Linked DNA regions of Stegostoma tigrinum. The main gene of each other region encodes a partner of the protein of the gene in region 2 in a complex. Links are inferred from orthologs where the notes say so. Each region holds a gene or a part of one and is shown on either strand. Other genes may lie near its edges.

Region 1 (7,502 bases), on a different chromosome or scaffold from region 2:
TCTAGCGCAGTCAATTGTGTTGGTGTTTATCCTCTACATGAACAGCACTTTCATCTCCAATCATGGTTTCAGACGGAAACTCTGAAATCTAGGGATGCTTCATAAACTATTGCTATTTCCTTCCTTGGTGAATCGTGAAGACAGACTCCAGATAGTTGGTGGTAGTCGAGCAGTATCCAGGTATGGGTTCAAAACTCTGTCACATATGTTTAGAGTCAGAACACTTAGTCCCAACTTCCGTTATTATTGGTTCCTGGAGGCTTGGTATAAACAGTAAACTGAATGTGACAGCCACTGGCTCAGACATCATGGCTAACTGTGTCTCAGTAAGTGTCAGGATGGAAGTTATTTGCCCCTCACATTTAGGGTCTTTAGGTCACAGGCTCGGAGACAAGATCACAAACCACAAGCAAAATAACAAGTCATAATCTTCTTATTTTCTAGACTTCAGCCTCCTTGAATTCAAAAGAAAGTCTACCTCCACAATTAAAAAGCTAAATACAAATTCCTTGTCCTTTTTTGTCATGTTCATGTGGATGAACTGATATCATCCATTAGCAGACTTTTGAACAGACCTTTTATGTATTAAACTTGTTCTTTCTCTGCAACTTTTCTAAGCCTGTAACACTATATTCGTATTCTGTTCTAGCATTTGAATGTACTTTATGTAGGATATGATTTGCCTGTCTCACACACAAAACAATATATTTCACTGTATGTCATATGTGACAATAATAAATCAAATCAAATCAAATCCCACAACATCAGCAACAGACTGTAAACAATCTGTTTGCAAAACCTTTAAAAGAATTTTTAAACATCTCTTTAATTGGGCAAGATGTTCATTTAAAAGGAATACATAATCAAAGCATATAGGGAACAAAGCAAAAAGCCACTAATCATCGAACCAAGAAATCATTACTACAGAAAGAGCAACAAAAACATGGGTTGGAGGAAGAGGAGGCATGATTGGGAAAGAAGGGTTAAAAATAATGTTGTTATTTCAAAGCTTTAAAACACATCACACACTGTTTCATCTAGTCAACACTACCTCAGGCAGAGATCCTAACAGAAAAAATGAGAAATAATACATGGGGAAAACGCAGCTCGGTTCCAACCCTATTCCTGGAGTACAATAGTCAGTAATTTGCTACCAATGTCTGAGGCCATGAAATTACGGTTTATACAGCAAACAAAAAGTCTATTGGGAATTACTTTAATCACTTAAATAAGTCCTCATTATTGAGGCAATAGTGTCTCATCCAAGTACATTACTCAGATAATGATAATACAATAACAATTAAGGTTACACAACAGAATTAAATAAACTGATTATTGTGACATCAGTTTTTCTGACGTCCTGAATTCTGACCTTGAAGAGCTGTTCCACAGACATTCATATTAAGAGCAGGAGTAGGTGATTCAGCACCCTGTACCTGCTCCTATCTACCCCTACACCATTTGATTAATGGAGTCATACGGCTCTGAAACAGACCCTTCGGTCCTACTAGTCTGTGCTACCTAGACACCCTAATCTGGCCTGGACCCGTTTGTCAGCATTTAACCCATAACCCTCCAAACCATGCATTCACCCAATCAAATCCCTTTTAAATGTTGCAATTGTACACACCTCCACCACTTTCTCTAACAGCTTGTTGCATACACACTTTGCGTGAAGTGGTCACCCCTCAGATCCTTTTTAAAAATCAATGCTCTTTCAGCTTAAAACCTATGTCGTCTGGATTTGGACTCCCCCACCCTTGGAAAAAGACTTTGGCTATTCACCTAACTGGACCTCTAATGATTTGACAAACCTCTAAGAGGTTACCCCTCAGCCTTCAGTACTCCACCCTATTCAGCCTCTCCCTATAACTCAAACCTTACAGCCCAAGCGACATCCTTTTAAAAGAAGAGATAATGGGAACTGCAGATGCTGGAGAATCCAAGATAACAGAGTGTGAAGCTGGATGAACACAGCTGGCCAAGCAACATCTCAGGAGCACAGCCAAAACGTCAGCTTTTGTGCTCCTGAGATGCTGCTTGGCCTGCTGTGTTCATCCAGCTTCACACTTTGCTATCTCTGACATCCTTTTAAAACATCACTTTCTTTTCAGTCAAGAATATATTTAACACACCCTTAAAAATGTTCAATGACCATGCCTCCACTGCTCTTACAAATTAATGGCCTGCTCAGGAAAATAATTCTCATCAATCTCCATTTTAAATGGGAAACCTCTCACTTTAAAATTGTTTCCTAGTCCGAATCTCTCTCGTCCTGCCACCATTCATCCTGCCCATTGCCTTCAGTACCTTACATATTTTAACAATATACGCTCTAATTCTTCTGAACTCCAAGGTACACGAGCCCTACCTGCCCATATTTTCCTCATTTCAGAAATCAATCGATTCAACCTTCTCTGCGCTTCCAATACGATTACATTATTTCTTCAGGTGACCAAACTGTCTACGACACCTGGTTTCACCAAGGGCCGAACAACTATAATGACATTTCCCAACGTTTGCGCACCAAAGCCCTTTGCAATAAATAACAATGGTCCATTCCAATATATTTCACACGTTTTATTTTTCTGTTACATCATATTATTAAAGACAAGTTGATTTCTGTTGCCGCCAAGAAGTAAACCAGTAACTGCAGTAAACAGAAGTGGTTCAATCAGACACTGTAGGGAAGAAATTAGTAAATGATTGAAGTGGGCCGTTCTTCAAAACCAGAACACAAGAAACTGTAACGAACAAGAATACAATCACAGAAATCTGAAAGAAACTATATTTAACAAAAGGAGATTCGAACTGACACTGACAAGCCGAGACTCACCCCCCACCGAAGAACCGTATCTAGCTACGTTCCACATTTCTCAAGCACGATTATTATAAATCCAGTTCTCAAAATATTCCCCTATTTTCTCTGAATATTCCCTTCTTTTCTCTGATTGTTTTATTTTACCCGTTTTTAGGCCAGCGCCATTTTTTGTTTTTCCCGCGCAGGTACAAACCACAGAATGCGCATGCGCGCGACACGGACTCAATCATTAGTCTACTAGTAAGAGGCAAGAAAACAGAGTTTGAAAGAATTTCCATCACAATAAAACCAGATCGCTAAATTTTTAACGCGGGTTTAAATTTTAATTTGAAATTATTACTTTGTTTTGTTTTTTTTTCAGATGTTTAGAGATGATCTCCCCTTCTGCCATGATGGTACAGGCTGCAAATGCAGAAAGACGGTAACGATTAAGAGCAATCCATTCCGGGAACAGGGAATAGTAACTTTAGAAACTTCTTAAAGTAAAAAAAAACACCGTGGATAATCTGGTTATATATTTCAAAATGTGGTTATTATTTCAAAGCGCGACTCAGTCTGAGTTATATTGTGAGCTATTATAATGGAATCGTTATGGATCGAAGCTGTTGACCACCTCCCCCCCCCCCTTTGCGGTGATGAGAGTGGTTATGTCCAGGCCTGCAGCTCGGAATGGGGGAGATTGTGTTGTCGCGGGCAGCTTTCCTCTGGGGCACGAATGCTATTTACTTGTGTGCATTCACCTCGCTTTATGTACAGATCCCAGGTAATAGTGATGACACTGATATTCTGGGTTTTAAAAGCTCTGCCTCGGTGAAGAGTGTAGTCAGTTGGCGGGAGTTGGGTAAAGGAGCCTCATGGAGAAGGGAGAGGTGTGGTTAATGGAAGGAAACCGACTGAAGTGGAACACATCGTTTATTTCCAAAACAGCACCGTGTGAGTTAGCGTTGGCTGGCAGTTTGGAAAGAGTTGTTGCTGTTAATGTTGACAGAGTGCATTTTTGTGTTTATGAAGTGGTGCAGTTTAGACTTTGATCTGGGGACTCTGGTGTAGCAGAGCCACTCTATAGTTAACGGCAACACACTGCAGATGCTGTAAAGCTAAAACAAACACAGAATGCTGGAGAAACTCAGCAGATCTGGCAGCGTGTGGGGGGAGAGAGAGGGAGTTTGAAGTAACGTTTCGAGTTTGGTGCGAGTTTGCTTCAGATTGCATGGTTATTTTGGTGCGAGACTTGAATTGTGTGCTATGTATGGAGGGAATAATGTTTAGGAAATGACCATTGCAGTCAGTTCATTGAAACCATTCCATACTGTGAACCCTCCCCTATTGAGGTTCAAGAAGGCAGCTCAGCATCATTCCTAGTTACCCTGAAGATGATGGGCAATAAATGCTAGTCCGAACAGAAAAGCCACCACCCCATGACTTTTATTAAAGAAGAAACCTGCTAGGCGTTTTATTTCCATGTTTCTGAACATCGTGAGTGCTCTCTCTCTCTCTCTCCATCACATTTCTTTCCAGGGAAGCTTAAGCTTCCCAAGTAAAGACAAAGTGCTGAAGAAAACCAGGTGTGGCAGTACCTTGCAGAGAGTAATACAAAAACGTTGAGTCCAATGAGAGTCATGTTGGACAAGCAACATATTCTCTCTCATGGGATAACGAGGTGTACGGCTAGATGAACACAGCAGGCCAAGCATCTTCTATCTCTATCACTTCTGTCTGTAATTTTTTAACGCGTGTGCGTGTGTGGATTTGAAGTTTTCATTTGAATGCACAGTTTTTCCTGAATCATCTACCAGTGAGAACAACAGGCCAGCAGTCAGAATGTTGTGCTTCACCTGCAAGGGTGAAATTCTGAATCGTAGGATCAGTTGAACTCCATTCTGATAAGATGGCAGCTGTGATTGGAAGAGAGCTGTTTGCCAGTATGGGACTGTGATTGGGCTGTTTAGCTGAGGCTGTGTGCCGTTCCCATTAAGATGATGTCAGAAGGACTTTCAAAACATAACTATTGCAGATCCTAAAAGTAACATTTTTCTTTTTTCACATTGTCCACTCCCTTTCCTTGAATTTTTTGTCACTGGCCAATTTCAGGTGTGATAAAGGCTTTTAACATGGATATACAGCCAGGAAATTATATTGAAATCAGCAAGTCAGATGGTGAAACTCCTCAATATTTGTGGAAAGAGAAACGTTTGGAGTACAGTATTTTTTTTACAGCACAGTGTGGGCCGAAGGGCCTGTAATATTGTGCTGAACTTTTACCCTAATCCTAAGCTCTATCTAACTTGCACCCCTACCTTACACTATCATCCATATGCCCATCTAATAGCCACTTAAATGCCCCTAATGAGACCGACTCCACTACCCTGTCTGGCAATGCATTCTACTCCACTCACTTTGAAACTATGCCCCCTTGTAACAGCTACCTGCACCCTAGGAAAAAGTCTCTGGTTGTCCACTTTATCTATGCCTCTGATCATTTTGTATACCTCTATCAAGTCACCTCTCATCCGTCGTCGTTCTAAAGAGGAAAGCCCTGGCTCTCTCGGCCTTTTCTCCTAAGACCTTCCCTCCATTCCAGGCAACAACCTGGTAAATCTTCTCAGCACTTTTTCCAACGCTTCTGCATCTTTCCTGTACTGAGGCAACCAGAACTGGACGTAATATGCCAGATGTGGCCGAACCAAGCTTTTGTATAGCTGGACCATAACTTTGCAGCTCTTGAACTCGATCCCTCTCTTAATGAAAGCTAACACACCATATGCCTTCTTAACAACTGTATCCACCTGGGTCGCAGCTTTCAGGGAACTGCCAGCGTGAACCCCAAGATTCCTCTGCTCCTCCACACTACCAAGAATCTTTCCATTAACCCTTTTATTCTGCTTTCAAGTTTGTCCTTCCAAAAGAATCACCTCACACTTTTAAGGGTTAAACTCCATCTGCCACTTCTCAGCCTATCTCTGCATCCTATCAATGTCCCTTTGTAATCTTTGATTTGAAAATATTTACTCTGTTCCTGCAATGATGCTGCTGGATCTGCTCAGTTTCTCCAGCACTTTGTTTTTATTTCAGATTTCCTGCATCTTTAATATTTTGCTTTTACTTGAGATTGCATTGAACTTGCATAGTTTGGCCTCAGTTGGATTACTGTGACAGTTTCTGGTGTCACAGTTTAGAAAGAATGAGGTTGGTTAGCTCAGTTGGCTGGACAGCTGGCTTACAGTGCAGAGTGACCCCAGTAGCGTGGGTTCATTTGCACACAAGCAAGGTTAACATGAAGGCCCCAACTTGTCAACCTCTCTCATTGCCTGAGACATGTTGATCTTCAGGTTAAATTCGTTACCAGTCTTGTCTCTATCATGAGAGAGCAGTCCTGTGGTCCTCCAGGACAATGGCAGTTTAACTTTTCAGGAAGGATGTGAAGGCATTGTAGAGGGCTGAGACTTACAAGGTTAGTTCTAGGGAAATTAATTTTAGTCGTAAAGATACATTGAAGAAGTTGGGGCTCCTTCCTTTGGCCAAGAGAAGGATGAGAGGAGGTCTGATAAAGGCACTCAAAATTTAGATGTGTCTGAATAGAATTGATAGGAAGAAACTGTTTCTCCTGAAATGACCAAGAAATAAAAGGTATAGATTGAAGTAATTGTTCAGCCAAGAAAATTACGAGGAAAAGCTTTTGCACATAGTACAGTGTTAGGGCCTGGAATGGACTGGAGAGTGGTGGAGGAAGTTTGAAACAAGATATTCAAAAAGTGAGTTTTATTATTTTGCAAAGGAATGATGTGCAGGAGGTTTACACAGAACACTGGGAAATGTCACTAGGTAATATGATTGTTCAGAAACCATGCACATACACGAAATGACATTCTTCAGTGATCTTATCCTGAGACCAATGTTTCTACAGTTATTAACTTCACTGAATTTTTTTTGAGGAAGTAGCACAGCTGATTGATTTTGGATGCTTTTGACAAGCTTCTAATGCAAAGTAGCCACAAAAGTAAAAGTTGTGAGATGTGCTTTGGCAAAGACTGGAAACAGCTACTCAAGGATGAACCAGTGTCAGAACAATGAGAGGCATACATGAAGGAGACAGAATATTTGGCATAAATGTACTCCTGTAGAGATAAGGTTTAGGAGTTCCAAATACAGGCTTCCCTCAATGTGAAACAGCATGCAACAGCTAAGAACCAGTAACGCAGTAACTGAGGGATATGTAGAAAGGGCAGGAGCAAACCTAGACAGGACATTTGAAAAGCAAAATGAGAGAATCATCAAAGCTAGTTTGTCAATACATATAGTTTCACTGAAACACTTTTTTCCCAGAAATACATAAAGGCTATACAGATAGCCAAAAGTGTAGGGCCGTATAGAGACTAGAAAGGTATAATGTGTGTAGAGGCCAAAATCAAGGGTATGGTTCTTAATTAATAACTTGCATTCGCCTCCACAAAATAAAGGAAGTGATTTCATAGTTACAGAATATAAAATATTGAACAGAATAAACATAGAGAGGAAACTTTAAGAGCAGTGGAATCTTTGAAAGTCAGTAAATAACTGGGTCTGAATTATGTACATTATAGGCTGCTGGGAGAAGCAATTGAGAAAGTTAAGGTGGATCTGACTGCAATAATTCCAGTCTTTTTGGTTACAAATATAGGGCTGTCAAGGTTCTACCTTGTTT
Region 2 (7,750 bases):
TATAATTAAGGGAACTGACCAGGCATTTTCTCAGTTTCACATCTCCACCCAAAATGTTTCGATTTGATTTTTAAAAAATTACTTTGGATTTGAATTTAAGTACAGCATAATTTTTAAAGTGAATTTAGATAACAGTATAATTTTTGTGAACTGTTACCTTGTGAAAAGGACCCAGGATTTGTTCTCCTGCATATGACTTGAAATTCTGGTTCACTATGTGAGTTATCATGAGTCGAGGAGCTCCGGGTTCATTAGTCATTGCTGGGGGTGGAGGAGGAGATATGCCAGCCAAAATTTCTTCCAAGCTTCGATTATCTATTGGTTCAACTGGTAATTCTGAGACAACATATAAACAGAGACAAAACAAATTAAACACTATCCTACCAAGGCATAATGTTTAGTATTTCATGTAACAAGAGTTTTGTACCACAAATATTTATAAAAAGTCAATTCATTTCACACATTTGATGTTTAAAAAAAGTTAGATACCACTTGGTATTACCATTAATACACAAAAATGTTATGCATAACTGTTCAAAATGACCTCAAAATTGTCCAATTACAAAACAACGTTCCACAAAAATTAAGACCATCAGAAACATTTTGTTCCCAGGCTTGTTTTAATAGATCAAAACAGTTCCAGACAAATATTTATATTTTTCTTTAAATTATTCATGCACCATTCTTGATGAAAAAAAATCAATATTTATAATCATGGGCAACACATATGAACAATGAAGTGCACTATGTTTAATTTAATAAATTGAAGTGTATGTTTAAAACAATGCTTGTGAGAAGAGTCTGCCGCAATAACATATTTTAATTTACAATGCAAGATCATATGGATGCTCTGTGAAACACTGCCACAGATCACATTTCAGGAACTTAATTTGCATTCATGAAAAAAGTGATCATAAAAGTACTGTACGGCAGTAATGGCTAGTAAGTATTCAACTTGCACTAGTTTAATGCTGCTATTGCGTTTTGTACGCCTGCCAAATACTTGGTTTTGGAGTTGCTGCAGCAACAAAACGGAAAAAGACTAATTTTATTAAATTTCTGACGCACGTTTTTTTGTAAAAAACGAAAGTAATTAGATATAAATCACACGTCTTATCAATTCTCGGTTAAAATCTCTTACATCTTCAGCAGCTTCCGAAAGCAGTTTTGTACTCCAGGCTACAGAAACTCAACCCCTCCCCCCACAATTCACGTACTGTACAAAAACGCGCAAAGGAAAAAAGGGAACACAATGAAAAGAAAACTCAAACCCCATTGCGCTGCAGCGTCAGGGGCAAAAAAAAACTGTCAAAGAAAAAAAGTAAACCATTACACGACTGGACATATTTCTTTCAGGGTAAACACTAGTTATTACAAGCCTATGCTGAAAACCGGTTAAAAAAAATCTACTGCACCAACTTTCTAGGTACAAGTAATCCGTTGCAATTGTCATTGAAGCTTACGGAGTTCAAATACGATCTTGACAAGTTTAGTTAATGTTGGCTGCTTTCCTCCCATGTCTGAATGGAACTACACCCGTTAACTCCAAGGTAAAACACATGAAGTACTTTTGCAAAATGATTACAAAAACAATTTCGGCGTATAGGCAATGGAATCGGCAACCTGTTTAGCCATACTTTAGGCGGCTAAATCCAATTTCAAAACGAACTAAACGGCAGCGATTATCACAGCTTCAATTTATTAAAAAGATACAAGAAATGAAATGCGTTCATTTTTAACAATACAAATTTTAAAATACAAATAAAATTAACCATACACGGACAAAGAAAAAATTACCTCTTGTAGTTTCATCTACATTTGATGCAGTTGCCTTTTGTTGGATATCCATTTCGTTGTCAAACTCATCCAGGGGCTCAGTTCCCCCCGGACCCAGTTTTGCGCTTTGCTTTGCTGTAGAAGACTTCGTTTTGGCAGGCATGGTTTAACCTAGTTCAGCAATTATTATAACAAAAAAAAACTCAAGGCAAACGTAGTTATCCCTTCATTGCCATTCAATTCCTTTCATTCCCACAACGCCCATATCTTTAGAAAAGCTTTGAAACAAAAATCAAAGTTCGGCTAAAAAAAGTACCTCCTGAAAAAAAACCCATTAATTCCAAATTTACCGCAACCCTACCCAGATTAGGAAAAGTTACTGTACTTTACTGTAATCCAACGCCACATCATGACGTTACAAAAACTGTATTTAAAAAGTCAACCGTATAGATTACATAAAAGACAAATCTCACTAGAAAGGACACAACGTTTACTCAAAATGGAACAATTTGATCAAATGAAAAAAGCTGTATATAACGACGTGTATTTGAGGCAGTCTACGTCACTAAGCTTAAATAGGCGCACGAACAGACTTTTTAAAAAAAAACAAAATTTGACATGAATTGTGTCTAATATTAGTTCGATGGCTTAAATGAAGTAGTTTGAGTTTACAGAACACACCAACAAGTAAAATAATCAAAAGCTAAAATGCGGTGGGGGGGGGGAGGGAAGAATCGGAGAAAAAACTATTCTAAAATGAAAAATATTTAAAATTCTGACTGAGATAACAATCGTAATTATTTAACGAACTCGACAGTTCATATTTCTCAAAAGTTTAGTTCAATGCAATAAATGGAACCGGGCTTTTTAAAAAAATGCAGATAGCAACCACTTCCCTGAAACAACATGTTTACAAATTTGTCATGCATCTCATCCCGCTAAAAACAGATTTCATTTCCACTACATCAATACCTTGGAAATCACTCCGAAACTCGATTTTCCGGCGCCGAATGATTGTTATTTTTTTTTAAAAATATTAGGAATATTTTGGGACCACTTTCGCACGGGGAAATTAAAAAATAAAGGAATAAATTCGAGAAAAATTCAAGCGCTTACCTCGGACCCAGTCGAAAATGGCGCCGAAAACTAAACTTGACTGAAATTCGTTGAGGGACAAAGCATTGTGGGTAAGCCGGTTTGAAAAAATGGGGTTGATGCCAAATTTTTAAAAATCAAAATAAATATTTAATTTCGCGGCAAGGCTGGTTGTCTTGGAGGAAGACCGACGGGCTGGTAATTATCAAATTAAAAAGTATAAGCTGTTTGCTTTTTTCGCCGCGGTTGCCGTGTTGGTTGCCAAGAAGCGGCGAGCGGCGGTCTCGCGAGGCGCCGCGAGACTGTAGTCTGTTTGGAGCCTAACTGAAGTAGGGGAGCGGATTCTGAGCGAATTGCTGAGGTCTGGGACTTCCTTTAGATTGCCGAGGTAAAAGCGGTGGGCTTTGCTTGTCAATTGGTACAGTCCATTTTTTTTTAAAAAAACGTGTGTGTAACACTCGATCGTTTTATGTGTAAAAGGGTTACGTCAGGACCAGACTTTATAGATTGTGGGTTTGAGATGAAATGACATCCTGGCCCATTGCTGCTCCTGCTGATAATAGGGCAAATATTGTTGCTAAGTGATATATAAAAACAAAGTTGCTGGGAAAGCTCAGCAGCATATGTGAAGGAGAAAAAAAAAGTTCACGTTTCGGGCCCGGTGACCCTTCCTCTGAGCAAGGGCCACCAGACCCGAAACGTTAACTTCGTTTTTTCCTTCACAGATGCTGCCAGACCTGCTGAGCTTTTCCACCAACTTTGTTTTTGTTCCGGATTTACAGCATCCGCAGTTCTTTCGGTTTTTGTTGCCAACTGATGTGTTGTATTGTGTGAGCGAACCCATTTGGCCTATTCGGTTCAATCTTGCCATCCATCAGTGGACAGTTCAGAAGTGTCAGGGAGTGTTTGTTTATGATCGCTCGAAATACCATGTTGAACATTTGGAACTTGTTTGTATTTACAACTGTAGAATGCATCAAGATGGTTCGCAATGTTTCGACCAAAATGGGGATTCGTACTTCCAAATAGGTACAATCTGGCAGTATTGATAACTTTCTATATGGCTGGCGGTGTCCGGATTGTGTGACATGTACCAAGGAAATGCATCTCAAAAAATGGGCTTTCAGTTCTACTGTGTTTGCGTTTTCTCACTGTTTGAATTTTGCGGGTATGAGGTTTTGGGAGTAACTGATATTGGCATGTTGTCTAAATTTTGCACAAGTGCTAAATTAGAGTACCAAGGTTTGTTGTTGTGGCATACAGATTAATTAAAACGTTGATTTGTAAGATTTTGAAGAAATTTCATGATGTGCACAGAAGCAACTTGCTTAGAGTTTGATACTTCCGTCCAAATATTACTGCAATATTATTCCATGTCAAATTTATATTTTTGCTATAATGGGTTATACTAAGAAAATAGTCACATAATTGTAATGCTGTGTATACTCAATTTGTGTAGCTATGTACACTTTTAATTTGTGTAAAAATGGATTCACTTTCCAATGGTCATTTTTGACTGTTTGATAAAAATTAATTTGAAACTGAAAATGTGTTAATATTCAACAATGATGTGCAACTGGTAACATTCTTGTCAATTTGGCAGCCACTGAAGACGTTGCAGTTAGTGGAGTTGACCTCTGTTACTGGAGTTGATTTAATCATTGTGTCCAATTCAATTTCTAAAGAATGAGGCTGAAGACATCGCTGTTGAAGGAACCGAAACATATCCTTTCAATGAATTCATTTTTTTAAACTTTTGTAATGAGCATTAAGTTACAAATAAAAGAAAAAAATTAATTGGAAGAATGTATAGCTTTAAATTAGTATTAGTAAATCCAGCCTGTTGGCAGGGTAGGTTTAGATTTATCATTTTTGTCATTTGCATGTCTCAGATTTTTTTAAAAATTACCGTAACTAGAAACAAAATAGAACATATTGTTTCCTTGTTTCCATTATTTAAATAAATAAAACATTATAATAAATTATCCATCTCAACTGTGTTCTAGTCCTGTCTAAATGGTTTATAGAGGAATGAGGCATATTGTAGTGAACAGTGCCAAGAATACAGGAAGTTAAAAACGTGGGGATCTGCTGTGTAAGAGGTAATCTGATTAATGTAATTTTACTTTGGTTATCATGAAATTAGTTATTTATCAGCCAACTCTGGATATTCACTGGTCACCTTAATAAACAGAATGGAGTTTGAACAAAACAGTCACTCTGATAGCTGTTACATAATTTTTTTTCAGAGATTAGACACCACTAATCATTCTGTTAAAGCTCACTTCAAGCATGATAGCAACTCCATATTAATCATATCTAATTATATTTTGGATGCCCTGAATGTTTTGATTTTTATGGTAATTTATTGCAGTTTGAAGTAAAACAAAAATAACTGACAACAATCCTAAATTAATTTTTAATGAATTTCTATTCAGATCCAAAATTCCCTGGTTCTCCTTTATTGACCTACTTTAAAGTCTACTATAATTTTTGTGAAATGTTAAGAATCTACTTCACGTCTGCAAATCCTAGCTTTCAAATAAAGAGGTGTGGAGCTGGATGAACACAGCAGGCCAAGCAGCATCTTAGGAGCACAAAAGCTGACGTTTCGGGCCTAGACCCTTCATCAGAAAAGGGGGATTGGGAGCGGATTCTGAAATAAATAGGGAGAGAGGGGGAGGCAGATCGAAGATGGATAGAGGAGGAGATAGGTGGGGAGGTAGGGAGGGGATATGTCAGTCCAGGAAGGACGGACAGGTCAAGGGGGTGGGATGAGGTTGGTAGGTAGGAAATGGAAGTGCGGCTTGAAGTGGGAGGAGGGGATAGGTGAGAGGAAGAACAGGTTAGGGAGGTGGGGACGAGCTGGGCTAGTTTTGGGATGCAGTGGCGGAAGGGGAGATTTTGAAGCTTGTGAAGTCCACATTGATACCATTGGGCTGCAGGGTTCCCAAGCAGAATACGAGTTGCTGTTCCTGCAACCTTCGGGTGGCATCATTATGGCAGTGCAGGAGGCCCAGGATGGACATGTCATCTAAGGAATGCAAGGGGGAGTTGAAATGGCTTGCGACTGGGAGGTGCAGTTGTTTATTGTGAACCGAGCGTAGGTGTTCTGCAAAGTGGTCCCCAAGCCTCCGCTTGGTTTCCCCAATGTAGAAGAAGCATAATGGGTACAGCGGATGCAGTATACCACATTGGCAGATGTGCAGGTGAACATCTGCTTGATGTGGAAAGTCATCTTGGGGCTTGGGATGTGGGTGAGGGAGGAGATGTGGGGCAAGTGTAGCACTTCCTGTGGTTGCAGGGGAAAGTGCCGGATGTGGTGGGGTTGGAGGGGAGTGTGGAGCGGACAAGGGAGTCCCGGAAAAAGTGGTCTTTCCGGAAGGCAGACAAAGGTGCGGATGGAAAAATGTCTTTGGTGGTAGGGATGGATTGTAGATGGCGGAAGTGTCGGAGGATGGTGTGTTGGTGGGGTGGTATGTGAGGACGAGGGGGATTCTCTTTTGGCAGTTATTGTGGGGACAGGATGTGAGAGATGAGTTGTGGGAGACAAGGTTGAGGGCATTCTTGATCACTGTGGGGGGTGGGGGACAAGTTGCGGTCCTTGAAGAACGAGAACATCTGGGATGTACAGGAGTGGAATGCCTCATCCTGGGAGCAGATGTGGCGGAGTCGAAGGAATTGGGAATAGGGAGTAGAATTTTTACAGGAAGGTGGGTGGGAGGAGGTGTATTCCAGGTAGCTGTAGGAGTTGGTGGGTTTGAAATGGATATCGATTTCTAGGTGGTTTCCGGAGATGAGACAGAGAGGTCCAGGAAGGTGAGGGATGTGTTGCAGATGGTCCACGTGAACTTGAGGTTGGGGTGGAAGGTGTTGAAGTGGATGAACTGTTCGAGCTCCTTTTGGGAGCATGAGGCAGCACCGATACAGTCATCAATGTAACCCTGCAGCCCAATGGCATCAATGTGGACTTCACAAGCTTCAAAATCTCCCCTCCCCCCACTGCATCCCAAAACCAGCCCAGCTTATCCCTGCCTCCCTAACCTGTACTTCCTCTCACCTTTCCCTCCTCCCACCTCAAGCCGCACCTCCATTTCCTACCTACTAACCTCATCCCACCCACTTGACCTGTCCGTCCTTCACAGACTAACCTATCCCCTCCCCACCTATACTCTCCTCTCCACCTATCTTGTCCTCTATCCATCTTCGATCCGCCTCCCCCTCTCCCTATTTATTTCAGAACCGTATCCCCATCCCCCTTTTCTGATGAAGGTTCTGGGCCTGAAACGTTAGCTTTTGTGCTCCGAAGATGCTGCTTGGCCTGCTTTGTTCATCCAGCTCCACACTTTGTTATCTCGGATTCTCCAGCATCTGCATTTCCCATTATCTCTAGCTTTTGATTATCTTGTTTCTGCCACATTGGGGTAAGGTGTTTTTAATTGTAAATTTCTATGTCAACATTTATGTTGTAGGCTGTATAAGTAAACATGTTACGTTGTAATTGCATCCTACTGTTAGTGTTGGCTATGTAATAGTACTTGGATGAAGGAATAGGTAGCTGTATATCCAAATTTGCTGACAGCATTAAGTTATGTGGCACAGCAGACTGTAAAATGGGATGAAAAGTTGCTACGAAACATTACTAGGATAGGCAAAATGTGGGTCAATTGAAGTCATGCAGCTTGGACTTAACATACAATAGAAAATCCTTCCATTTGTTTTGCCTGAAGGCACATATATTGGAATAGTTTTATAATGGTGAGAAGCTAAGAAATCTGGATGATTGGATAGACTTTGATATCCAAGTACAGAAATAACTTTAAATCTAGTGGATGGGCGCAAATGTTTGTTACAAAGGCTAAAGAAATGTTAGCCTTTA
Region 3 (7,496 bases), on a different chromosome or scaffold from region 2:
GGAGGTGGATAAACACAGCAGGCCAAGCAGCATCTTAGGAGCACAAAAGCTGATGTTTCAGGCCGAGAATCATCATCAGAAAAGGGAGATGGGGAGAAGGTTCTGAAATAAATAGGGAGAAAGGGGGAGGCGGATCGAAGATGGATAGAGAAGATAGGTGGAGAGCAGACAGACAAGTTAAAGGGTCGAGGATGGAGCCTGTAGAGGTGTGTGTAGGTGGGGAGGGGATAGGTCAGTCCAGGGAGGACGTACAGGTCAAGCAGTCAAGGGGGCGGGATGACGTTAGTAGGTAGAAAATGGAGGTGCAGCTTGAGGTGGGAGGAAGGGATACGAGAGAGGAAGAACAGGTTAGGGAGGCAGGGATGAGCTGGGCTGGTTTTGGGATGCAATGGAGGGAGGGGAGATTTTGAAGCTTGTAAAATCCACTTGATACCATTGGGCCTCAGGGTTCCCAAGCGGAATATGAGTTGCTGTTCCTGCACCCTTTGGGTGGCATCGTTGTGGCACTGCAGGAGGCCCAGGATGGACATGTCATCTAAGGAATGGGAGGGGGCGTTGAAATGGTTCACGATTGGTAGGTGCAGTTGTTTATTGCCAACCGAGCGTAGATGTTCTGCAAAGCGGTCCCCAAGCCTCTACTTGGTTTCCCCGATGCAGAGGGAGCCACAACAGGTACAGCAGATGCAGTATACCACATTGGCAGATGTGCAGGTGAACTCTGCTTGATGTGGGAAGTCTTCTTGGGGCCTGGGATGGGGGTAAGGGAGGAGGTGTCGGGACAAATGTAGCAGTTCCTGTGGTTTCAGGGGAAAGTGCCAGGTGTGGAGGAGGTCGAGGGGAGTGTGGAGCGGACAAGGAAGTCACGGAGAGAATGGTCCCTCCAGAAAGCAGACAAGGGTGGGGAGGGAAAAATGTCTTTGGTGGTGGGGTCGGGTTGTAGATGGCGGAAGTGTCGGAGGATGATGCATTCACCTGTGCATCTGCCAATGTGGTATACTGCATCCGCTGTACCGGTTGTGGCCTCCTCTACGTCGCGGAAACCAAGCGGAGGCTTGGGGACTGTTTTGCAGAGCATCTACACTCGGTTCACAATAAACAGCCCAGTCGCGAACGATTTCAATGCCCTCTCCCATTCCTTAGACAACTTGTCCACCCTGGGCCTCCTGCAGTGCCACAACGATGCCTCCCAAAGGGTGCAGGAACAGCAACTCATATTCTGCTTGGGAACCTTGCAGCCCAATAGTATCAATGTGGATTTCACAAGCTTCAAAATCTCCCCTCCCTCCACTGCATCCCAAAACCAGTCCAGCTTGTTCCCACCTCCCTAACCTGTTCTTCCTCTCACCTACCTCTCCTGCCACCTCAAGCCACACCTCCATTTCCTACCTACTAACCTCATCCCACTCCCTAGACCTGTCTGTCCTCCCCAGACTGACATACCCACTCCCCACTGACACTCACCTCTACAGGCTCCACCCCACCCCTTTAACTTGTCTGTCTGCTCTCCACCTATTTTCTCCTCTATCCATCTTCGATCCGCACCCCCCCTCCCTATTTATTTCAGAACACTCTCCCCATCTCCCTTTTCTGATGAAGGCTAGGCCCGAAACGTCAGCTTTTGTGCTCCTAAGATGCTGCTTGGCCTGCTGTGTTCATCCAGATCCACACTTTGTTATCGCGGATTCTCCAGCATCTGCAGTTCCCATTATCTCTGATACAATTTCTGGTAAGGAAATTTGATATACTGCAGTCTTGTCTAAATACTATGCAATTCACTGTACCTGATTGTATATTTGTTTAAGACCTGCCACCAACTTTGCAAGATTTTGATGTCCTTTCTGGGCCTTTTCAAAGGCTTGTTGTATTTGGAGCATTTGATTTTTTTGTGTACCCATTTATATGGAAAAAAATCTGAAACAGACAATATAAATTTAATGAATCATAAATTACTGTCCAACAGGATCTTTCAAAGCAGTTATAATTCCAACGGTTAAAAAGTTTTGTTCAGTTGTGAATATGAAGAATCATAGAATCCCTACAGCACGGAAGCTGGTTATTCTGTCCATCGAGTCCACACCGACTCTCCGAAGGGGATCCCATTTGGACCTGTCCCATCCTACCCCATTGTTGTAACTCTGCATTTCCCTTGCTTATTCTACCTCACCTACATATCCCCCAGACACTATGGGCAATTTAGCATGGCTATTTCGCTTAACCTGGACATCATTGGACTGTGGGAGGAAACCCACACAGACACAGGGAGAATCTGCAAACTCCACACAAAACCCAGGTCCCTGGAGCTGTGACACAGCAGTGCTAACCACTGAGCCACCATGCCGCTCCACGGGACAAATGTCCCCACCAGTCCTGTGTGAGATAAGCATTGAGGATTTGTGCAATTTAGAAAAAGTATTAACTAGGAGCAACTTTGAATCAAACAGCAGATCTTCCAACTACTAGTGAAGTGACAACGTATGGCATCAGATTGGAATGGACGGCCCAACAGTTGGAGATGTCCTAGTCAGTGTTGCTACTGTGAAGATAGGCTTGCTCCAAGTTTTCAAAGCATCACTGTGATGAGTCACGAAGGCAGGGATGTGAGTCATAAATTCCTATAAGATCTTCAGTGATCCTCCTCACTGAAGCCAGACAGAAAACACAAGACCTAGGACTAAAAATATCCTGCCTAATCTTTGACACTGATGATCACTCATCCCACCACCCAACCCTGTCGGAACTACATCTGCCCAATCGCCCCCAACCCCACCTCAGACTCACCTTCGGTTCCCCATTCCCGCCTGCCCACACCTCCCCGCCACCGACAGCCCTCACCCCCCTCCCCATCCCATCAACTACTCCCCAGCCTCAGCCTTCCCCGATAATCCCCGCCCCCGCGGTCTCACCTCTCTAGCTGTCTATGATTCTCTCGAGTCCGCTCTGCCACAAAGCAGCCCCCTTTTTGTTTACCCGCTCTCAGCGCGAACCGCCAACAACAACCGCCAGAAATTTCAAACTGCCTCTCGCGAGATGGTGATCTAAGCGCAGGCACCGCAGGGGGCGGGCCTGGCGGGTCTCCCGATGCCGGGGCGTGGCTATGAGGGGGGTGTGGCTATGAACGGGCGGGCTTAGTGGGGATATTTATCCTTCCAGCGTCTGCCGTAGTTCAATGTGATTGTGGCTCGATCCATGGTCTAATTTGGGATGTCTGTTGCTGTTTATTCGGAGACACTTCCAAATGGAGACAACTCCTAGCCAGTTAACATATTTAGATCACTATGAATGTACTGTTTCCCTCAATCGGAAAAGATTAAAGTCATTTTACTCAATGAAGTTTTGAGCAATGCTTAACAAAATTGAGGACTTAGACAAGAAAACAAAAGCACAACTCACTATTTATTCATCAGTAGTTATTAATGAGCACCAAGAAAGTGTAGTTTTTATTTTCACAAGTAGCTACACAATTTTTTTAATAGAGATATCAGCCATGTTTATGGATATAATGGAATTTTTGGTCGATTAGAAAAAAACGAATCTGCTACTATGGATTGCATACGGATCGATGTTCCCATCACCATCTTGTTTTTATATGTTAGCCATGGAGAAGCTGGTACCACTCTACCCATAAGGTTCTGGCTTCAGCACAAAAATGAAGGCTGACAGTCTAGTGCAGCACTGAAGGAGCACTTCAGTGTTGGAGGCACCATCTTCCAGATGAAATCTTAACTCAAGGTCCCATCTTCCCGCATGTACAGTAAAGGGTCCCATGGCATTATTTCAAAGAAAAGCAGAAGAACTATCTGTGGAGTTCTGGCCCTCATTTAAGCACCAACCAACATCACAAAGAGAAGTTCAGCACAAACTGGAAGAGCAAAGTTTCATTTTCTTCTCATTCCCTTTGGCCCAACAAGTTCACACTGACCCTCAGAGACCACCCAGACCCATCCCTGTACAACCCACCTGATCTACACATCCCTGAACACGATGGGAAATTTAGCATGGCCAATCCACCTAGCCTGCACATCTTTAGACTGTGGGAGAAAACCAGAGCACCTGGAGGAAACCATGCACCATGGGGAAAATGTGCAAACTCCACACACAGTTGCCCAAGCATGGAATTGAACCTGGGTCCCTGGTACTGTGAGGCAGCTGTGCTAACCACCAAGCCACCATGCCGCCCCCCTTCCGTGCTTGATATAAAAATGTTCAATAATTTTAGGGCCTGAACACCTACTTCCGTGTTCTTCACTGAACTCCCCAAAATAGCAGGCTTTATTAACACATGGGCTGCTGCCACAACCAACCCATTGTCAGCTATTAATAGTCCCATTAGCAGCCAAGGATTCTCCCAGGCTGGCCATTTGCCCATTCCTTTTTCTGCCCAATTGCTATTCTCTCTCTCTCTGGACTCCATCTCCATCTATCATTTCTTCCTATCCCCATTCCACCTTCCACTTTTATGCCAACCTTTTCCTAACTTCAATCAGTTCTGAAGCAGGGTTACTGGATCCAAAACATTAACTCTGCTTTTTCTCCACAGATGTCAGATCTTCTGAGTTCCTCCAGCATTTTCTGTTTTTGTCACAAAAAGAAGACTAGCTGGTTATTATCACATTACTGTTTGTGAATTCATTATGTGTAACCTGGCTGCTATATTTACTACATTATAGCAGCAACTATAATTCAAAATAATTCAGATTTTGACATGTCAATGGACATGAAGTGCTAAAATAATTGAAAGTCTTTTTTTCCCTTTTGTCCATGCAGCCAATGTTACCATATCCCCTACAAACTCTAATGCACTTCTCACTGATTATTTCCCAGCTAATTTTGGATCATTTGCAAATTAGAATGTTATAAAATCAGCCCATCATCTTAAGTTATTAATATAGACTGTGAACAGCTAAGTTTCAAATACAGATCCTTGCATTTCACAACTGGTTATAGCCTGTCAGCTCAAAAATATCTTGTTTATTCATATCTTGTTTGCAACAGCAGTAGACTCGCCAAGTTTAAGGGCATTTATATGGTCATTGGATAAACATTCCACACCCTCACTACTCCCTGAGTAAAGAACCCAACTCTGACATCTATCCTATGTCTATCACCGCTCAACTTAAAGCTATGTCCCCTTGTGCTAGCCATCCGAGGAAAAAGGCTCTCACTATCCACCCTATCTAATCCTCTGATCATCTTGTATGTCTCTATTAGGTCACCTCTTAACCTTCTTCTCTCTAACGAAAAATGCCTCAAGTCCCTCAGCATTTCCTCATAAGACCTTCCCTCCATACCAGGCAACATCCTGGTAAATCTCCTCTGCACCCTTTCCAATGCTTCCACATCCTTCCTATAAAGCGGCGACCAGAACAGTACGCAATACTCCAAGTGTGGCCACATCAGAATTTTGTACAGCTGCAACATGACCTCTTGACTCCGAAACTCAATCCCGCTACCAAAAAAACCTAACACACCGTATGCCTTCTTAACAACCCTACCCTATCAACCTGGGTGGACCCTTTCAGGGATCTATGCACAGGGACACAGAGATCTCTCTGCTCATCCACACTACCAAGCGTCTTATCATTAGCCCAGTACTCTGTATTCCTGTTACTCCTTCCAAAGTGAATTACCTCACACCTTTCCGCATTAAACTCCATTTGCCACCTCTCAGCCCAGTTCTGCAGCTTAGCTATGTCGCTCTGTAACCTGCAACATCCTTCCGCACTATCCACAACTCCACCGACTTTAATTTCATCCACAAATTTACTAACCCATCCTTCTACGCCCTCTGACAAATAGCAGTGGCCCCAAAACAGATCCTAGCGGTACACCACTAGTAACTGAACTCCAGGAGGAACATTTCCTATCAACCACCACCGTTTGCCTTCTTACAGCTTGCCAATTTCTGATCCAAACTGCTAAATCACCCTCAATCCCATGCCTCCATATTTTCTGCAATAGCCTACCATGGGGAACATTATCAAATGCTTTACTGAAATCCATATACACCACATCAACTGCTTTACCCTCATCCACCTGTTTGGTCGCCTTCTCAAAGAACCCAATAAGGTTTAGACCATAAGACATAGGAGTGGAAGTAAGGCCATTCGGACCATCAAGTCCACTCCACCATTTAAATCATGGCTGATGGGCATTTCAACTCCACTTCCCTGCACTCTCCCCGTAGACCTTGATTCCTTCTGAGATCAAGAATTTGTCAATCTCTGCCTTGAAGGCATCCAACGTACCGGACTCCACCGCACTCCATGACAATGAATTCCACAAGCCCACCACTCTGTGGCTGAAGAAATGTCTCCTCATTTCCATTTCAAATTTACCCCCACTAATTTTAAGGCTGTGCCCACGGGTCCTAGTCTCCCCGCCTAACGGAAACAACTTCCTAGCGTCCACCCCTTCTAAACCATACATTATCTTGTAAGTTTCTATTAGATCTCCCCTCAACCTTCTAAACTCTAATGAGTACAATCCCAGGATCCTTAGCTGTTCATCATACGTTAAACCTACCATTTCAGGGATCATCCATGTGAATCTCCGCTGAACACGCTCCAGGACTAGTATGTCCTTCCTGAGGTGTGGGGCCCAAAATTGGACACTGTATTCTAAATGGAGCCTAGCTAGAGCTTTATAAAGCCTCAGTAGCACATCACTGCTTTTATATCAGAGGTAATAGGAACTGCTGATGCTGGAGAATCCAAGACAACAAAGTGTGAAGCTGGATGAACACAGCAGGCCAAGCAGCATCTCAGGAGCACAACAGCTGATGTTTCGGGCCTAGATCCTTCATCAGAGAGGGGGATGGAATCTGGGTTCTGGAATAAATAGGGAGCGAGGGGGAGGCGGACCGAAGATGGAGAGAAAAGAAGATAGGTGGAGAGGAGAGTATAGGTGGGGAGGTAGGGAGGGGATAGGTCAGTCCAGGGAAGACGGACAGATCAAGGAGGTGGGATGAGGTTAGTAGGTAGGAAATGGAGATGTGGCTTGGGGTGGGAGGAAGGGATGGGTGAGAGGAAGAACAGGTTAGGCAGGCAGAGACAGGCTGGGCTGGTTTTGGGATGCGGTGGGGGAAGGGGAGATTTGGTTTTATATTCCAACCCTCTTGAGCAAACAACATTACATTCGCTTTCTTAATTACGGACTCTACCTGCAAGTTAACCTTTAGAGAATCCTGGACCAACACTCCCAGATCCCTTTGTACTTCCGCTTTGCAAATTTTCTCACCATTTAGAAAATAGTCCATGCCTGTATTCCTTTTTCCAAAGTGCAAAACCTCACATTTACTCAAATTGAATTTCATCAGCCATTTCCTGGACCACTCTCCTAAACTATCTAAATCTTTCTGCAGCTTCCCCACCTCCTCAGTATGACCTGCCTGTCCATCTATCTTTGTATCATCGGCAAACTTCACCAGAATGCCGCCAGAGCCTTCTTCCAGATCATTAATATATAAGGTGAACAGCTGTGGCCCCAACACTTAACCC
Region 4 (7,421 bases), on a different chromosome or scaffold from region 2:
ACTACTCTGAGTAAAGAAACCACCTCTGACATCTGTCCTATATCTTTCACCCCTCAATTTAAAGCTATGCCCCCTTGTGCTCGCCATCACAATACTAGGAAAAAGGCTCTCCCTATCCACCCTTGACAGTCGTTGTATATGTGGTAATAACTAACTGAATCTTCTTTGGACTGCCTTCAATGCCAGTATATCTTTCTTGAGCTAAGGGACACAAAACTGTGTTCCAGCTGTGGTCTGACTCATGCCTTGCATATATAAGCACAATCTTGCTACCTTTATACTCTATTCCTTTTGCAGTAAAGAACACCAACATTCCATTTAACCATCCTGCCTGATCATATCTAAATCTGCCTGATGGATGCATTTCTAACTGCTCTGGTGTTACTGCCTCTATAATAGCCTCTAACATTTTCTCAATAACCTATAAATTTAACTGGCCTCAAGTTTTTTTTTGCCTCCATTTCTTCTTAAATAATGGCATTACGTTGGCAGTTTTCTAATTCTTTGAGACTTTTCCAGAATCAAAGGATTCTTAGAAGATTACTCCCCACACATCCACTATCTCTGTAGCTTCTTCCTTCAGTACCCAATGACACATTCCAGCAGGTCTATATTTGACGCAACGGTACAAGAAGCACGTGTCCATTCCAATTTTCAACAAATTTGACATTGTAAAGAAAAAACTGAGTCTGTTATGAATTCAGAACAACTGTCAACATCCACTTACATTTTCAGAACATAGTTTGATGCAGGTAGAATAGTGTTCAGATATCTGATTATTTGACAGTTTGGGTTCAAAGGATTGTGGGGTCCCCCTGCAACAATCAATGACAATCAGAATCAATTATTTTGAAGGTCAAAAGCAACTTGTCCACAGCTCAGCATTCAAACAAACCCAGAGTCAAGAATTCTGACACATCACACCAACAAAAGTAGCAACCTGTAATGTTAATTAGGAAGGCCTTTGGACAATACTCAGGGTTCAGAAGCAGCACAGAAGAAAAGCAGAAGCAGAGTTCACTCTGGAGCAATGATACACAAATACATGCTAAGTGACATGAGAATGAAACAGTGCAATGAAACCTACCTTTGCACTGGGGATACCAAAGGGCTCTCTGTGCCACTTAGTTGCAAGTCTGTCACTTTTGAGCGCCTTCTCTCTCTCCTTTCACGTTCATCATCATTTGCTGCAACATCCATTTTTACAGAGGACTTTAGAGTCTGAACAGCCTGTCGCTTCGTAGCTGGAGAAATAAACTTGTGGTCAGAAGACCCCACTTGAGAAACTGAGATCAAAGAATCCATTTTGCCCTGTGACAAACAAATACAACAAAAGACCATTCAAGCAAAAGAGCAATAAAAAGCTGTAGTCATGGAATCAATAGTTTCCACTTTTCCCCACATCTGTCTGACCTGTTCAAGACTTCATGATCTGTCTTGGGAAACCACGATCTGGCCTTCTCCTCCAAAATTCCAGTGTGCTTACGTAGATGGTTGAGCCATGAAAGCACATTTACCATTATTTCTCCTTCTAATGTATATTTAAATGGCTTTTAACATACCAACCTGACTCCTTCACATAGGAGTTCTGAGTAAGGGTCACCGGACACAAAACGTTAACTCTGATTTTTCCTTCACAGACGCTGCCAGACTTGCTGAGCTTTTCCAGTAACTTTGTTTTTGTTCCTGTTTTACAGCATCTGCAGATCTTCGGTTTGCTTTACAGCCATTCATGTCACCTTCAGCGTGCCTCATCCAGCCAAATAAACCACTTTAATCTCTTCACTCAAGTTTCACGCTCAGCTACTATGTGACCATCGAATCCCCACGGTGTGGGCACCGGCCCTTCGGCCCAAAAAGTCCACAGAGACCGCTGATCATCCCACCCAGACTCATTCCCCCTATTACCCACCTAATCGACGTATCCTTGAACACTGCAGGGATGAAAACCACCTAGCCTACACGTCTTTGGGCTGTAGGAAGAAAGCGGAGTACCCGGGGATAATGTGCAAACTCCACACAGACAGACGCCCGAGGGTGGAATTGAACCCGAGGCCCTGTCAGACAACAGAGAACCACTGAGCCACAGTGCCGCCTTAATTACTGCCATTACGGTGAAGCATTTTTGATCTACTTATCGTCGTCACGATTTTCATTCATCTATTATCTTTCGACAGTCGCAGACGTCTCTGCAACCGGAACCCCTGACGCCAAGCAACGCAGTTGCTAATAGGAACCTTAAGTGAACTGAGACCTGACTACAATGACAGGAATTGCTGGAAAAACTCAGCAGGTCGGACAGCATCTGTCGAAAGAATGTTTACAGTCCAGTGACCCTTCTTCAGAATCTCCAACCGTGTTGAAGGAGGATTACAGGACACCCAACTCTGATTTCTCTCTACGGATGCTGCCAGATCTGTTAAGTTTCTGCAGCAATTTGTGTTTTTGGTTCAACTTTCCCAACATTCGTAGTTCATGGCTTTATTTACGAGAATTTGGTAATTTGCTGCAATCAGGCAGAGCTATTTATCATTTCTTTCGTGGGTCTGTTGATTTGTGTAGGGATTGCCGCAGTATTGAACCAAGAACTTCTCAACGAAAGCAGGAAGGCGTGTCAGCCAGAACTTGGGGACACGGGCCAGCGCGATTGAATTTCCACAATCCCGGTCCAACTCAGCTTGGATTGACCGACCACTCACCCTGTCCGCCGGGTGTCGGTTGAAAACATTCACACCCACTCTGTTCAGATGTTAAAGGATGGCGTACGTGTATGTTTCCGAGAGATTTGGGTTGCGATTGCGGCCTAACTTTTTCCGCCCGCTCTAATGCAATAAGCGAACAATGAAAAAAAAACACAATCTCCAGGCCTCCTCAAATCGTCCTGGCTCGCACTGACCTGAGTGATCGAGATGTCCGAATTTCTTCAACGTCGCTGTATCCGACCCCGCGGTTGGAGAGGGAAGATGACGGCCGGGATCTCGCTCCGTTCTGCCGTTACTTCAATCGGAATTCAAACTTTCCCGCGGCTCGATAGTGCGCACGCGCGGCTCGCTGGGTGTTCCCGGGGATGCGACGCTCCGCGCACGCGCAACACGCCGGGAAAGGGGAGGTTGTCGCTCTGCGCACGCGCAGTGCCTTATGTGTATGCCCTCTTGCAACGAGTGGAGTGAACCGTCAGCCTTTTCGGAAAAACGGATTATCAGCAAAACTGACAGAAATCCGTGGACACACACCGAAGAGTGCCTTTGCCTGAATTTCTCCGATCTTCACAGTGTTCGTCTCATGATCATTCCTGAAAGATGACTGTGAACGAAGAAAGCCGTTCGGCCCCTCTTCAAACGTCACGTCAGACCTCACATTTCCAAGTGCAGTTGTTTCTTCAGTAATTCCAGAGGTTTCTTTGGCTGCGGGGGAAAAAAATCTCCAATGCCGCATCTGAGAATTCCAGGCCTTTTATCAAATACAATGTGAGAAGACTTTCCGGCCTGCAGCAAAAGCGAGAAAGTGATAGATGTGGATTAACCGTGGTTTTATTGACAGGCACAACAGACTTGTGCTTTGAATGCTCCTCAGTTTTTATTTGTCCTTTTATAAATTAGACTCTGGAGGTGACTGATCAATTTGCAACTTTTCTTTGCGCTTACTTCAGTGTATGAATGCTTCTCTCATGCCTCATTGATTGTATTGACCACACTGACAAAACTGGTACAGCACAATGTAATAAAATGTGAGGCTGGATGAACACAGCAGGCCAAGCAGCATCTCAGGAGCACAAAAGCTGACGTTTTGGGCCTAGACCCTTCATCAGAGTCTAGGCCTGAAACGTCAGCTTTTGTGCTCCTGAGATGCTGCTTGGCCTGCTGTGTTCATCCAGCCTCACATTTTATTATCTTGGATTCTCCAGCATCTGCAGTTCCCATTATCTCTGGTACAGCACAATGGTTTGGTCACAGGTTCTTTGACTGGTGTTAAAAACCAAAATAACTTGTGACAAGTTGACACATGGAGATTCATCAAGAAGACTAGAACCCATGGGATCCAGTGCAGTTTGACAAATTGGATTCAAAGGTTGGCTTCATGGCAGGAAGCTGAGGATGATGGTCAAGGCATGTTCTTGTGACTGGGGTGAGTCCAATGAGCAGAACAGTGACAAATGGGAATTGATTTAGAAAACAGTGAGCTGATGCATTTGGGGAAGACTGCTATGCCTCCGAGGTTCACACCATACTGTAGGACCGAAGGACATTCAGAGGCACCTTGTTTCCCTTATCCAAAGATCTTTGAATGCAACATGATAGGTGAACAAGATTGTGAAGAAGTCATATGGCATAATTACATCAAGAGCAAGGAGCTTGTTCTGGAGCTGTATATAACATTACAGAGGCTGCAGCTTGAGGACTGTATGCAGTCCTGTCGCACAGTATATAGGATGCATGTGATTGTTCTCAAGAGTACATTCACCAGGATGTTTGCTGGGTTCCAGTGTTTCAACAATGAAGAGAGACTAGATAGGCTTTACAGATAGTAGGAACTGCCGATGCTGGAGAATCCGACATAACATGGTGTGAGGCTGGATGAACACAGCAGGCCAAGTAGCATCAGAGGAGCAGGAAAGCTTGACATTTCAGGTCGGGACCCTTCTTCAAAAATTTCTGAAAGATCCCGACCTGAAATGTCAAGCTTTCCTGCTCCTCTGATGCTGCTTGGCCTGCTGTGTTCATCCAGCCTCACACCATGTTATCCCAGATAGGCTTAAGTTGCTTCCTTGACGTTTGAGAGGGTTGAGTCACATACTTGATTGAAATCTACAAAATTTGGAGGGACATAGGAAGTAACCTTTGTTTTTAGTAGAGAGGTCAGTAACCAGGAGGCAAAGATTCAAGGCAAGGAGCAGAAGCTATAGAGGGGATTCAAGGAAGAATTTTTTTTCTCACAGTGGGAGGTGGATATCCAGAACTCATTGCCTGAAAGGATGGTAGGAGTGGAAACTGTTGCAACATTGAAGAAGATTTTTGATGAACACTTGAAATGCCTTGGCAGACAAGCTGAGGGGGGAAGTGCTGTAAAATGGGCCTAGAGTAGATAGGTGATCAACATGACACAATGGGCCAAAGGGCCTCTTTCCATTAACTCACCATGACTTGGGGTGCCAGTGTTGGACTAGAGTGGATAAAGTCAGAAGTCACACAACACTAAGTTATAGACCAACAGGTTTATTTGAGATCACAGGCTTACAGGGCGCTGCTCCTTCGTCACGTTCGACTTCACCTGAAACAAGGAGCAGTGCTGAATAAGTTTGTGATTTCAAATTAACCTGTTGGACTATAACCAGATTTTGTGTGAATTCTGCCTTCATTGACTAGGAAACAAGAAAACAGGCCGTCTTAGACTGGGTATAATGTCATGAAAAATGCATACTTGGTCAAGCAGTTGTGAAAGACCTCTTCAGGATGAGCAACCCGTAATGAGCAACCGGGTTTTCTTATCACGACGGAGAGTGAGGTATTTGGTGCTAAGACTCAGGTCCTGAATTTTTAATGAGGGAAACTACAGTGGTAGGAGTTAACTTTGATTGATTGGGAAATGTTACTGCAAGGAGTGACAGAGGATAGACAGTGGCAAACATTCAAAGTGCAAATGGGAAAACAACAAAAACTTGTTTCTGTCTGGCACAAGAGTGCAAAAGAACACTGGCAACACCATGGTTTACAAGGGAAGTTAGAGATAGTATGAGTTGGGGGAAAAAAAAAGAAACATACAAATTGGCAAGAAAAATAAATCTCCTGGAGGATTGGGAATAGTTTAGAAGTTAACAAAGAAGGACCAAGGCATTGATTAAGAGGGGGAAGTAGAGTGAGAGTCAGCTTGTGGAAAACGGAAGAACTGACTGACAACGTTTCTGTAAAGAGAAAAAGATTAGTGAAAACTGATGTAGGTCACTTACAGTCAGAAACAGACGTTATTAAAATGGGGAACAAGAAATAGCTGATAAATTAAATTCACACTTCATTTATGTTGTCATAAAGGAGGACACAAATAATTTGGATTTAGTGAGAAGGAGGAACTAAAGTGAATCCCTATTAGTGGAGAAATAGTTTTGGAGAAATTGATGGAATTGAAGGCTGGTAAATCCTAAGGTCTGAGAATCTCTGTACCAGAGTATTTATGAAAGTAGCCTTCAAAATATCAGATGCATTGGCAGTCATCTTCCAAGATTTTTTTAACTGTGGAATAGTTCTTAGAGGTTGTAGAGTAGCCAATGTAACCCCACCTTTTGATAAGACAGAGGAACGTAACACAAATTTCTGGACCAGCGATTCTGACATTGTCATGGAGAAGGTGCAGAAGTCCATTGACAGTGAATTCATTGCAGAGCACTTGGAAATCACTCAATGTTCTTACTATCAAGGGAATGCAGTGAATATTGGCCAAACTGATTCTTGCAGTGGCAGGACTGACATAGGAGAAGAGATTGTGTTGGTTTGGATTCTATTAACTGGGGTTTGGAAGAATGGTGGGGTGGGGGGAATCTCATAGAAAATTTAAACAGAATTTGACAGATTAGATGCAGGAAGGATGTTGCCATTGGTGAGGGAGTCCAGAATCAGGAGTCATAGTTTAAAGATGAGAGTAAACCATTTTAGGAGTGAAATGAGGAAAATTTCTTTACTTGGAGACTGGTGAGCCTGTGGAATTCACAATGACGTTGAGTGGTTGAGGCCAAAACATTGTATATTTTCAAGGATTTCATGTTGCTCTTGTCCAAAGAAATTAAGGGATGTGGAGAGAAGGAGGGATCAGTCATGATCATATATATGACAGAGCAAGCTCGAGGGGTCAACTGGCCTCCCCCTGCTCCTATCTTCTATATTTCTGGCTTCTAAAACCCAATGACGTTCTATTGCTACTCGTAATGTGTGTGGACCTGTTGTACTTACTTAGAACCCCTACAGTGTGGAAACAGGCCCTTCAGCCCAACAAGTCCACACCCTCTGAGCATCGTGCTCAGACCTATCCCCCTAGAATCCACCTAATCTACACATCCCTGAACACTATGGGCGATTTAGTAAGGCCAATACACTTAGCCTGTACATCTTTGGACTATGGGAGAAAACTGGAGCACCTGGAGGAAACCCACACAGATGCAGGGAGAATGTGCACATTCCACAGAGACAGCCGCCCAAGGGTGAAATTGAACCCAGGCCTCTGTCGCTGTGAGGAAGCAGTGCTCACCACTGAGCCACTGTACCGCCCAAAACTAGCAAAGGAGATCGTGAGTTCCCTGACCGGGAATCGAACACAGGCCATAGCATTAGTGCACCAAATCCTGACCCCGAGACTACCTGACTTGGACATCAATTTCTTAAGTTTGCTCCTAAAGGTTAAATTTGTTCCGATATTACATCAGATGTAATTGGAGA

What was found.
Region 1: the proteins of smc4 (region 2) and ncaph2 are in contact, whole or in part, in a cryo-EM structure (PDB 9F5W), measured with the Homo sapiens proteins. The link is inferred for Stegostoma tigrinum from reciprocal best matches to the Homo sapiens genes SMC4 and NCAPH2. Residues at the interface, in NP_001002800.1 of Homo sapiens: Ile100, Leu101, Gly102, Pro103, Ile112, Gly113, Pro114, Ser117, Gln1151, Met1152, Leu1155, Phe1227, Lys1228, Ser1231, Ile1232, Phe1235, Tyr1236, Glu1239, Gln1240, Asn1253, Asn1254, Phe1256, Glu1257, Arg1261, Gly1264, Ile1265, Tyr1266, Lys1267, Thr1268, Tyr1269; in NP_689512.2 of Homo sapiens: Arg494, Ile495, Trp498, Glu499, Thr501, Val502, Leu505, Leu506, Gln509, Glu510, His512, Phe547, Cys550, Arg551, Met553, Leu554, Leu557, Gln558, Ala560, Asn561, Tyr563, Val565, Glu566, Ile567, Gln569, Leu573, Glu574, Ala576, Val577, Asp578.
Region 3: smc4 (region 2) and ncapg share a complex: the UniProt entries of both Homo sapiens proteins name them as parts of the condensin complex. The link is inferred for Stegostoma tigrinum from reciprocal best matches to the Homo sapiens genes SMC4 and NCAPG.
Region 4: smc4 (region 2) and ncaph share a complex: the UniProt entries of both Homo sapiens proteins name them as parts of the condensin complex. The link is inferred for Stegostoma tigrinum from reciprocal best matches to the Homo sapiens genes SMC4 and NCAPH.

The regions. Positions count from the first base shown.
Region 1 is NC_081378.1:21,665,810-21,673,311, forward strand, and holds the start of ncaph2 (condensin-2 complex subunit H2), read right to left. Parts: upstream 3,002-7,502; 5' UTR 2,837-3,001; intron 2,392-2,836; exon of another isoform or gene 2,372-2,391; intron 2,259-2,371; exon of another isoform or gene 2,241-2,258; intron 1-2,240. Other genes in the region: lmf2a (lipase maturation factor 2a), read left to right, coding at 3,491-3,584. UniProt on the Homo sapiens protein: Regulatory subunit of the condensin-2 complex, a complex that seems to provide chromosomes with an additional level of organization and rigidity and in establishing mitotic chromosome architecture.
Region 2 is NC_081367.1:27,392,879-27,400,628, reverse strand, and holds the start of smc4 (structural maintenance of chromosomes protein 4), read right to left. Parts: upstream 3,009-7,750; 5' UTR 2,893-3,008; intron 2,857-2,892; exon of another isoform or gene 2,749-2,856; intron 1,948-2,748; 5' UTR 1,940-1,947; coding exon 1,798-1,939; intron 337-1,797; coding exon 158-336; intron 1-157. Other genes in the region: ift80 (intraflagellar transport protein 80 homolog), read left to right, coding at 4,558-4,597. UniProt on the Homo sapiens protein: Central component of the condensin complex, a complex required for conversion of interphase chromatin into mitotic-like condense chromosomes.
Region 3 is NC_081354.1:83,712,177-83,719,672, reverse strand, and holds the start of ncapg (condensin complex subunit 3), read right to left. Parts: upstream 3,017-7,496; 5' UTR 2,904-3,016; intron 1,912-2,903; 5' UTR 1,896-1,911; coding exon 1,782-1,895; intron 1-1,781. UniProt on the Homo sapiens protein: Regulatory subunit of the condensin complex, a complex required for conversion of interphase chromatin into mitotic-like condense chromosomes.
Region 4 is NC_081393.1:10,353,490-10,360,910, forward strand, and holds the start of ncaph (condensin complex subunit 2), read right to left. Parts: upstream 3,017-7,421; 5' UTR 2,897-3,016; intron 1,312-2,896; 5' UTR 1,306-1,311; coding exon 1,088-1,305; intron 816-1,087; coding exon 728-815; intron 1-727. UniProt on the Homo sapiens protein: Regulatory subunit of the condensin complex, a complex required for conversion of interphase chromatin into mitotic-like condense chromosomes.